Linked DNA regions of Arabidopsis thaliana. The protein of the gene in region 2 interacts with the protein of the main gene of each other region in a pairwise test. Each region holds a gene or a part of one and is shown on either strand. Other genes may lie near its edges.

Region 1 (3,501 bases), 4.8 Mb from region 2:
AACACAAAAAAAAAAAAAAAAATGCAACAACAGAATGTTATAATCTTCATTAGCAACAAGGCCAACAACAACATACCTTATAGTTCTGACCAGCTTCAAAATTAGATAGTGGTGTTTTACAACCAGTACTATAAGGCATAACCTTGAAGCATCTATAGACAAGATTCTTATAAAAAAATCAGCCTACTACACCCAATTAAAATCTTTAATTTGAGTTATATATTTTAACACCGTCATTTCAATTTTTCCATGATTTTTAAGCCCAGCAAATCATAATCTGGCTCTTGAAATTTACGAACCCAAAAATCAAACCTCCAAATGATATTGGGCCTTTTAACTGGTCATACTTTGATCGCTACTTCTACTTCTAAACTTCAACTTTCAGTTCATAAAACCCAGATTTGACTTTCATTTACTCTCCTTTATTTTTTATGCATGTAATATACTATCACATTTTTATAATCATAATTTGTTTTACAACATCAAGGCTATGATTGATTCATATGAGCTCACATGGGTCTGCAAAAATGTAGTTTCTAAATTTGGAAGGCTTTTCAAATGGTGTAAATTATAAACTTCACCAACCTATTATTAAAACGCATATAATGTTTATCCCATTGCAGTTCGAATTCATTCATAATATAAGTTTAAACTTACTTTATAATGTAAATTCATACAAACCCACTTGAAATGTAAATTCATGTAAAATATTATACAAGAGAATGATAGATAGTCTTTGATTATACAAACCCAAATTTCATACAACGTAACTAATTATTAGAACATATTACGCAAAACTACTTGATCTATAGATCTACACTAATATATAGTTATGGAAAAGAACAATAATCCTGTACTATACAAACCCAACTTCAGACAACAAGAACATTTTTTTTTCTTTTTGAAAAAGGTATAACAAAAACATTACTCAAATTAACCTATTTGATCTATAATTTTTAAGTGAAAAATATAGTCTTGAATTATACAAACCCAAACTTCATACGATCATGATAAAAACATGACTCCAAGTCCAACATATTTTGATCATACTACATATATATTGAAAACATATATAAACACCACAATAAACATCATGCACTATACGGTGATTAACTTTCAACTATATATATATATTGTATATGGTTACGTGGATCGAACGTGAGGGAAACCGCTGCAAGCTTAATGATGACGATGACCGCCGAGTCGAAGATCAAGATCAAGATCACCATCTTGAGGTTGAGAACCTCCGGTCTCTGGTGGGCTCCGGTGAGTGTCATCATCTTCATTCATGGATCCGAGCCCTAAGCTCAAATTAAGATCATGAGACGCCCCTTGAGCAAATCTCCCTCCTCCTCTTGATGATGATGATGATCCAAAGTATTGTGTGTTGTGGCTAGGGTTAATAGGTGGCTGAGACCCTTGGTGTAGGTATGACTCAATGGTCGGAAAATAAGGAGGAGGGTTTGTGAAGTTTGTGGAGGAGGAGGGAGACTGAGATGGTAACGGAAGAGAAAATGGAAATGAGTGAGAAGAAGAAGAGGAGGAGGGGTATCTTTCGCGTTCCCTGCGGTGGATGTTATTGTGACCACCGAGGGCTTGAGGATTCGTGAAACCTCTCTTGCAGATGTCGCAGTCATAAGTCCGGCGGTTTTCTCCAGAGCCAGAGCCGGAATCAATTTGTTTGTCCCGGTGGTTCATCTCTCTCTTCTTCTTCTGTTGGGATCTCTCTCAAGTCTCAGTATTCAATGTTTTGAAAATGAGTGTATGAAGCTTCTTAAAAACACACACCAGCGTATATATAAGCTAAAGGAAAGATTATGTGTGTGAACGGACACTAATTAGGGCTAAATTGTTTTATCAATGGTTAATATATATACTTTAGGGTCTTTAATGTACTTAATTACGGGGGTGTGTATTATAATTAAATTCGTGCGTCTAATGTAACATGAATTAATAACTACAAAAACGTCATGCTTAGAATTATTTTAATTAGTTTATTTTCTAACAATTTTCAGGGAAAGTTTAACAAAGGATAATATAATAGATAAAGTTGAAAAATATTCTTCATAGGAAAACAAACTACAGAAGGTGTTATTTATAAGGTTTCGAGTGACTAGTTAGGGTAGCTAGTTTCTCTCTATTCAATTTCATTTTTGTTCAAGAAAAATATAAAGTTGTTCATCTTTGAATATAGTACAAAAAAGTACTTATTTGTTTGGATCGAGAGTAAAAATTGCAAAGTAAAATTGTAAAAATTGGAAGGCTAGTAGGAGCTAGTGAAATATTAAAGCTTAGTTAAATTTAATCTAATATAGTGTGAAATATATTTTGAATGTGAACATGTAATACCTACAAAATAATAAAACCAAATTTTTTAAAAGAAGCATTCACTAAGGAGTTGTGGACTTGTGGTTGTGCTTAAAGTAGGTAAAACAATTAAGAATATACAAATTGCTCTCATTAATTAAATAGCATTTATGAAATTTATTATGAGTTCTCCCCAAAACTGAAATTGATTTCGATGGTTTCTATACTTAGAAAAATATGCTTTAACAAAAACAAAATAAAACTTAGAAAAAAATACGATCGATGAGCGATCGCCTGCTACTCTTAGGATTGCTAAAATTAATATTTTACTGTATTCAATTTCAGAACCGACAAAATAATATTCACCTCCATAAACTTACTTCGTTCACACCGGTACCCTTTAACTTCTATGGACCGATTGAAACCGCGTTTTATAAGTTCGGTTTTAGCTATTGCCATATCGTTTTTTAGGATATAATAGAACGTTTAACGAATCACGATGGATCAAAACTCTCTATATATGCAATGGAAAATAATTATAGCCTCAAGAAAAATGATATTATGGAAGTTGAATAGATTTGTTATTATGTAGGCTGACTTCCTTTTGGCGTAGTCTCTTTTTAGTGAGATCATGCAGATAATATATAGTAAAACAAGTATACCATTATGTTTTATGGATTTAGATAAAGAACTATTGTCATTCGTTTTCTATAAGCTGATCAGGAGCATTAATGTTTTATAGGATTTCGAGAACATGTGAGAATCCTACTGACTTAAGAATATTCACTAGTGAATTTATAACAGACGAAAAAGAACTTTGGGACTACAGCTCATCGTAGACTTTAGCCTCCTAAAGCTACATTTATTTCTTTCATCAATAACATTTGTTTCATAAAACCCGCACGAACAAATATTCTAAATTGGCATGTGGATAAGAAACAAACTCGGTCAAGGTAAGGTCTATATAATTAAGCTTGATAAAAGAATCATACGGAAAAAATATCCACCAACAGTTTCAATATTTATATGTGTGTTTGGACTTGCGGGTGATATACAACATTAATAGTAATAAACTGAAAGAATAGTGTATGCATATATAGAAATGCTCTATGTAGTGTTGGAGACACTACAAAAAAAAGGTTGTTTTACATCATTTATTATAAATATTTGCATTAGTTAAAAGTGATGTAAAAG
Region 2 (4,431 bases):
TCCATTGAAGACGAGGGTTTTCTTTGCTACCATGTCTCCTACTCATTACAAGTCAGTAACTTCTTGAACTTTACTGTGATTTAACTATCTATAAACACTTCAAATTCAAAACCAGGAACCAAAAAGAGAGGAGATATATGGCTTAGAACAATGTAGTCCGGATTTGGTATTGAATGAAATGAGTAATGGAGTTTAGATTGATCCGGTTTATCTTTAATAGTTTAAGTAAATGTGGCTTATAACATGATCCGCAATTAGAAACCACACTAAGATTTAGCATACAAAGGTTTCATATTTGTCTACCTCCATGATCAGGGGCGAGGATTGGGGAGGCGAACAAGGAAAAAATTGTTACAATCAAACGACACCGATCCAAGACATGAACCATTGGCCATCAGACTGCAGCAAAACCTTAATGAAAGTGATAGGAGAGGAATTAGACCAAAGAGCAGAGTTTCCGGTGACGGTACTTAACATTACACAACTCTCTGGCTATCGGAAAGACGCGCACACGTCAATCTACAAGAAGCAATGGAGCCCATTGACGAAGGAGCAGCTAGCAAATCCGGCTAGCTACTCAGACTGTATACATTGGTGCTTGCCTGGTCTTCAAGATACTTGGAACGAGCTTTTCTTTGCCAAGTTATTTTATCCATGATTCTTTTCTCTAAATTCAAGATTTTTTTAGAACTGTAATTGTAAATTATGGTTATAATTTTTGTTAATTACGTACACTTATTGTTCTACAAAGAGAAGAAAGAGAGAAACTCTGCTATTCGCTATATTAACTCAATAGATGAGAAGCAACAGTTCATGATCCAAGGAAAGAACAAAAACTATAGAGTTATTAAATATTTTTTCATTGTGAATCAGATCATTAACACCTATTTCTTGTTTCTCCTATGATCAATCCAAAGATTATGTTGTAGTCTTGTAGGACCATTGCCTCAGAACTCTCAAATATCCAGAGAACTCAAACCATTGAACTCGTGACCATCGTGTGGCTCGAGATGAAGCGGATGCAAATCATAACTACCAGAATTTACGTGGTTTTGGTCTTGGCTCTGATGGGGACCAGGTTCATTCAAATCTCCAAGGAGTTCATTAATATCAAAGCACTCATTAGGATCCCAAGAAGTCTGATCATTTACAATATCATTAGACCAAGGCCAACCGTAATCTGCAACAGTAAGCAAATCCGGTTGCAGCTGTTGCTGTTGCTGTTCCTGTTGCTGTTGCTGTATCTCCTCTTCTTCCTGCTTCGGTTTCTCTTTCTCCTGCAAAACTTGGCCCCAATACTGCTGCTCAAACTCTAACAGCAAATCGTAATTCAGCGAAGAATTCATATCTTGATGTCCAACCGTGCAACTGTCCGGCCTGGTTCCACAAGACTCTTCTCTAACATCTAAAATCTGACTAAATGGATTAGATTCACAATCAGTATCTTCATGCTTCACACAAACATCACCACAAACAACCGCCTTATTTTCAACCGTACACACCTCAGATTGACTAGACGTACTAGTAAACTCAGACCCAACAGACTGAGGGAAGTTAAGACGAGCCAATGAACCGTACATAGCGGTAGCCGCTTCATCATAAGCGGAAGCAGCTTTTTCCGCGGTAGGAAAAGTACCAAGCCAAAGTCTAGTTCCTATTTTCGGTTCTCGAATCTCTGCAACCCATTTACCCCAAATCCTTTGTCTAACTCCTCTAAAACTACAGTGAGAATTATCTGGTCCTCCTTTACCCTTCATACAACCTTTCTTCGACCCTTTCGCAGGAACTTTGCGTTTCGGTTTCTCTCCTTCTTTAACAGCCGAAGCTTCAACAATCTCGTTGTACTCTTTCCACTTCTTTAGCCTATCAGCCACCGTTAAACCACCTGCTCGAGCCCTAGATTTCCTTTTCTTCGGCTGCTCGGTTCCGGTTTGTTCATATACAGCCATCTTCTTCTTTATAGTCGCAATCTAAGAATCTACAAGATAGGAAAAAAAAAGGTTTTGAATCAGTCTCTTCCTCTCAATTTCAGAAAACAGAAATTATCGAGTCACGGAATTTATAGTTATAAAGAGGAACAGAAACAACTTGGGCACCAAGGGTGTTTTACTTGCTCACCAAGTTTTACTTTATTAATAGAAAAGCAAAAATCGCATTAGAATTTCCAATTTTTTAACCCGAGTCTTAGATTAAAGAAACCGTGTAAAAAAAAATAAACGCTAAATTAGAAAATTTCCCAAATTTCTCTCAAAAACAGCGAAACCTAAAAGGATGACATTTTGAACAAATCAATGAACACGAAAACATCTAAAACCCAAAATTCATCAAACCCAAAACCCTCTTCGAGACTAATTCAGCGAAAAATCGACAAACCCAGAAAAGATTAATTGGAAATCAAACATACCTATCGTGAATGATAACTCCAGGATTAGAGTCGAATCTCTTCTTTATTTAGGCAAAAATCTCTTCTTTATCACGCAGATGTTGTTTGTTGTTCGTGTTAAGTCGATCAAAAGCAAATCTTCTTCGCAAGCTTTCGCGTTCTTTCTAGCGTCTCTTTTTTCTTTTCTTTTTGTAAAGACAACAAACTTTTTACAGAAATCAGATATTATCAAGAGGTCGAAAGGGTATTTATAACTTTGTCTAGATATTTCTGATATTTTAATGAGAGTAGTAGTGACATGGCACTTATTAATTCGAATTGTGGATCATAACATTCCCCAGTGACGACACGTGTTGAAATTTTCACCACACAAAAACACGCTCTCAATACGGGTAAGCAATGGGAATCCTTACTATAGTTGATAAACACATACAGAAACATATTTAATACAATATGTACATGTTAAGACTCAAGAATCACAAAACCATACTAATATTTTAAGAAATAAATATTTAAATAATGAAACTTAATTATTAAGAAAGTCTCATTTTAAAGATTATAGTCAATATTTGAACAATAATCTGATATTTTGAGGAAAACAAATTAACAGTATGTTATGAATAATTTATAACCAAAAAAGTAGATTTATAATCTATAATATTTATTTTCTAGTATGGCAGTATATTAAATTGAATAATATACATCCAAAATTCCAAAAAATAAGTAATCAAACAAACACAAAGCAACATCACAACCATGATTATCACCATCACCCACAAACTTTTCTTCTGAATTCATTTCATTCTAAGAGAGAATATACGAAGCACATCAAACAGTGTTTTATCCTGAAAGCATAAAATCAGAGAAACACACAAATAATTAACGAGATTCTAGTTCAGTTATAGGTTTTTTGAACTCCAAAGCTCGCATTAATTAATTTACAATTAGTCTCTTCTACTAAGTACAATAACTCTAAGTCTCTAACAGTAATCATCAAACACAAAGCAAATGTCCACGCATTATCAATGAGACAAAATCAAACTCGTCATCACGGTCTTCAATTATCGGTCGGCCTAAACCCCCATAATTTGGAAATCGAAGCTCGCGAATTTGCTAAGGTTTCATGCGGACTACAGAACGTTACATGTTGACGACGGTATGAAGAGAAATTGCGGCGAGACACAACCGATCTTACGTTATCTGTTCTTTCTTTTCAAAAAGGGGAATACTTATACTCTTCTGAGTTCGGTGGAATGTGATCAAATGGGCCTGCGTTTTATTTTTATCCTCCTATGTTGTTGGGCCTTAGCCCGAGTTTGTTTTTCAGACTGATGCACAAAATTGATAATATCCATCTCTGAACTAATAATATCAGACTTATAGACATAGTAACAAGTCGTCCAATTTGGTTGGGAAAACAACTTTTCGAAGTTTCCTGTACGTAATTAAAGTAAAGACAAAATGTGTGGAAATGGACTATTCAACATGAAGACTCTTTTAAGTCTTTTCGTTTCAACGTGAAGAACACTTGGTAGAAAGACTGGTTATATAATGTGAGTCAAGCTGTGTTGGATTTATCTTTGTGGAGTAGAATCTATTACTATGTCTATAAAGAGATGGGCACGAAACCATCTTATTTACTACCACAAACTCCACTTTCTTTTATCAATATTCAAGAAAATTCGACTAGCTAGCTAGCGTAAATTAAGGAGGATGAAAGGCTCTTGGGTGGTCTCAACGAGTATCATTCGTATTACTCTTTCTTTTACTTTCTTATTCATTTGTCATTTTTCGGACGTGCTTGCGGCTCCTACTAGGCACTTGTGTCGTCCCGAACAAAAGGATGCACTTCTCAAGTTCAAAAACGAGTTTGAGATTGGGAAGCCTTCTCCTACTTGTAAGATGGTTGGCATTGAATCTCATCGGAAGACGGAGTCATGGGGGAATAACAGCGACTGTTGTAATTGGGAGGGAGTCACGTGCAATGCCAAGTCCGGGGAAGTGATCGAGCTCAACCTTAGCTGCAGCTCCCTCCATGGCCGGTTTCA

Evidence for each region.
Region 1: the proteins of DREB2B (region 2) and URO interact in a two-hybrid assay, tested with the Arabidopsis thaliana proteins (one large-scale study listed by BioGRID).

The regions. Positions count from the first base shown.
Region 1 is NC_003074.8:8,248,776-8,252,276, reverse strand, and holds URO (C2H2 and C2HC zinc fingers superfamily protein), read right to left. Parts: upstream 1,759-3,501; 5' UTR 1,699-1,758; coding exon 1,180-1,698; 3' UTR 794-1,179; downstream 1-793. Other genes in the region: AT3G23145 (ATP binding / aminoacyl-tRNA ligase/ nucleotide binding protein), read right to left, coding at 77-139.
Region 2 is NC_003074.8:3,453,527-3,457,957, reverse strand, and holds DREB2B (DRE/CRT-binding protein 2B), read right to left. Parts: upstream 2,604-4,431; 5' UTR 2,405-2,603; intron 1,979-2,404; 5' UTR 1,950-1,978; coding exon 957-1,949; 3' UTR 659-956; downstream 1-658. Other genes in the region: TBL32 (TRICHOME BIREFRINGENCE-LIKE 32), read left to right, coding at 1-51, 316-658; RLP34 (receptor like protein 34), read left to right, coding at 4,097-4,431. UniProt on the Arabidopsis thaliana protein: Transcriptional activator that binds specifically to the DNA sequence 5'-[AG]CCGAC-3'. Binding to the C-repeat/DRE element mediates high salinity- and dehydration-inducible transcription.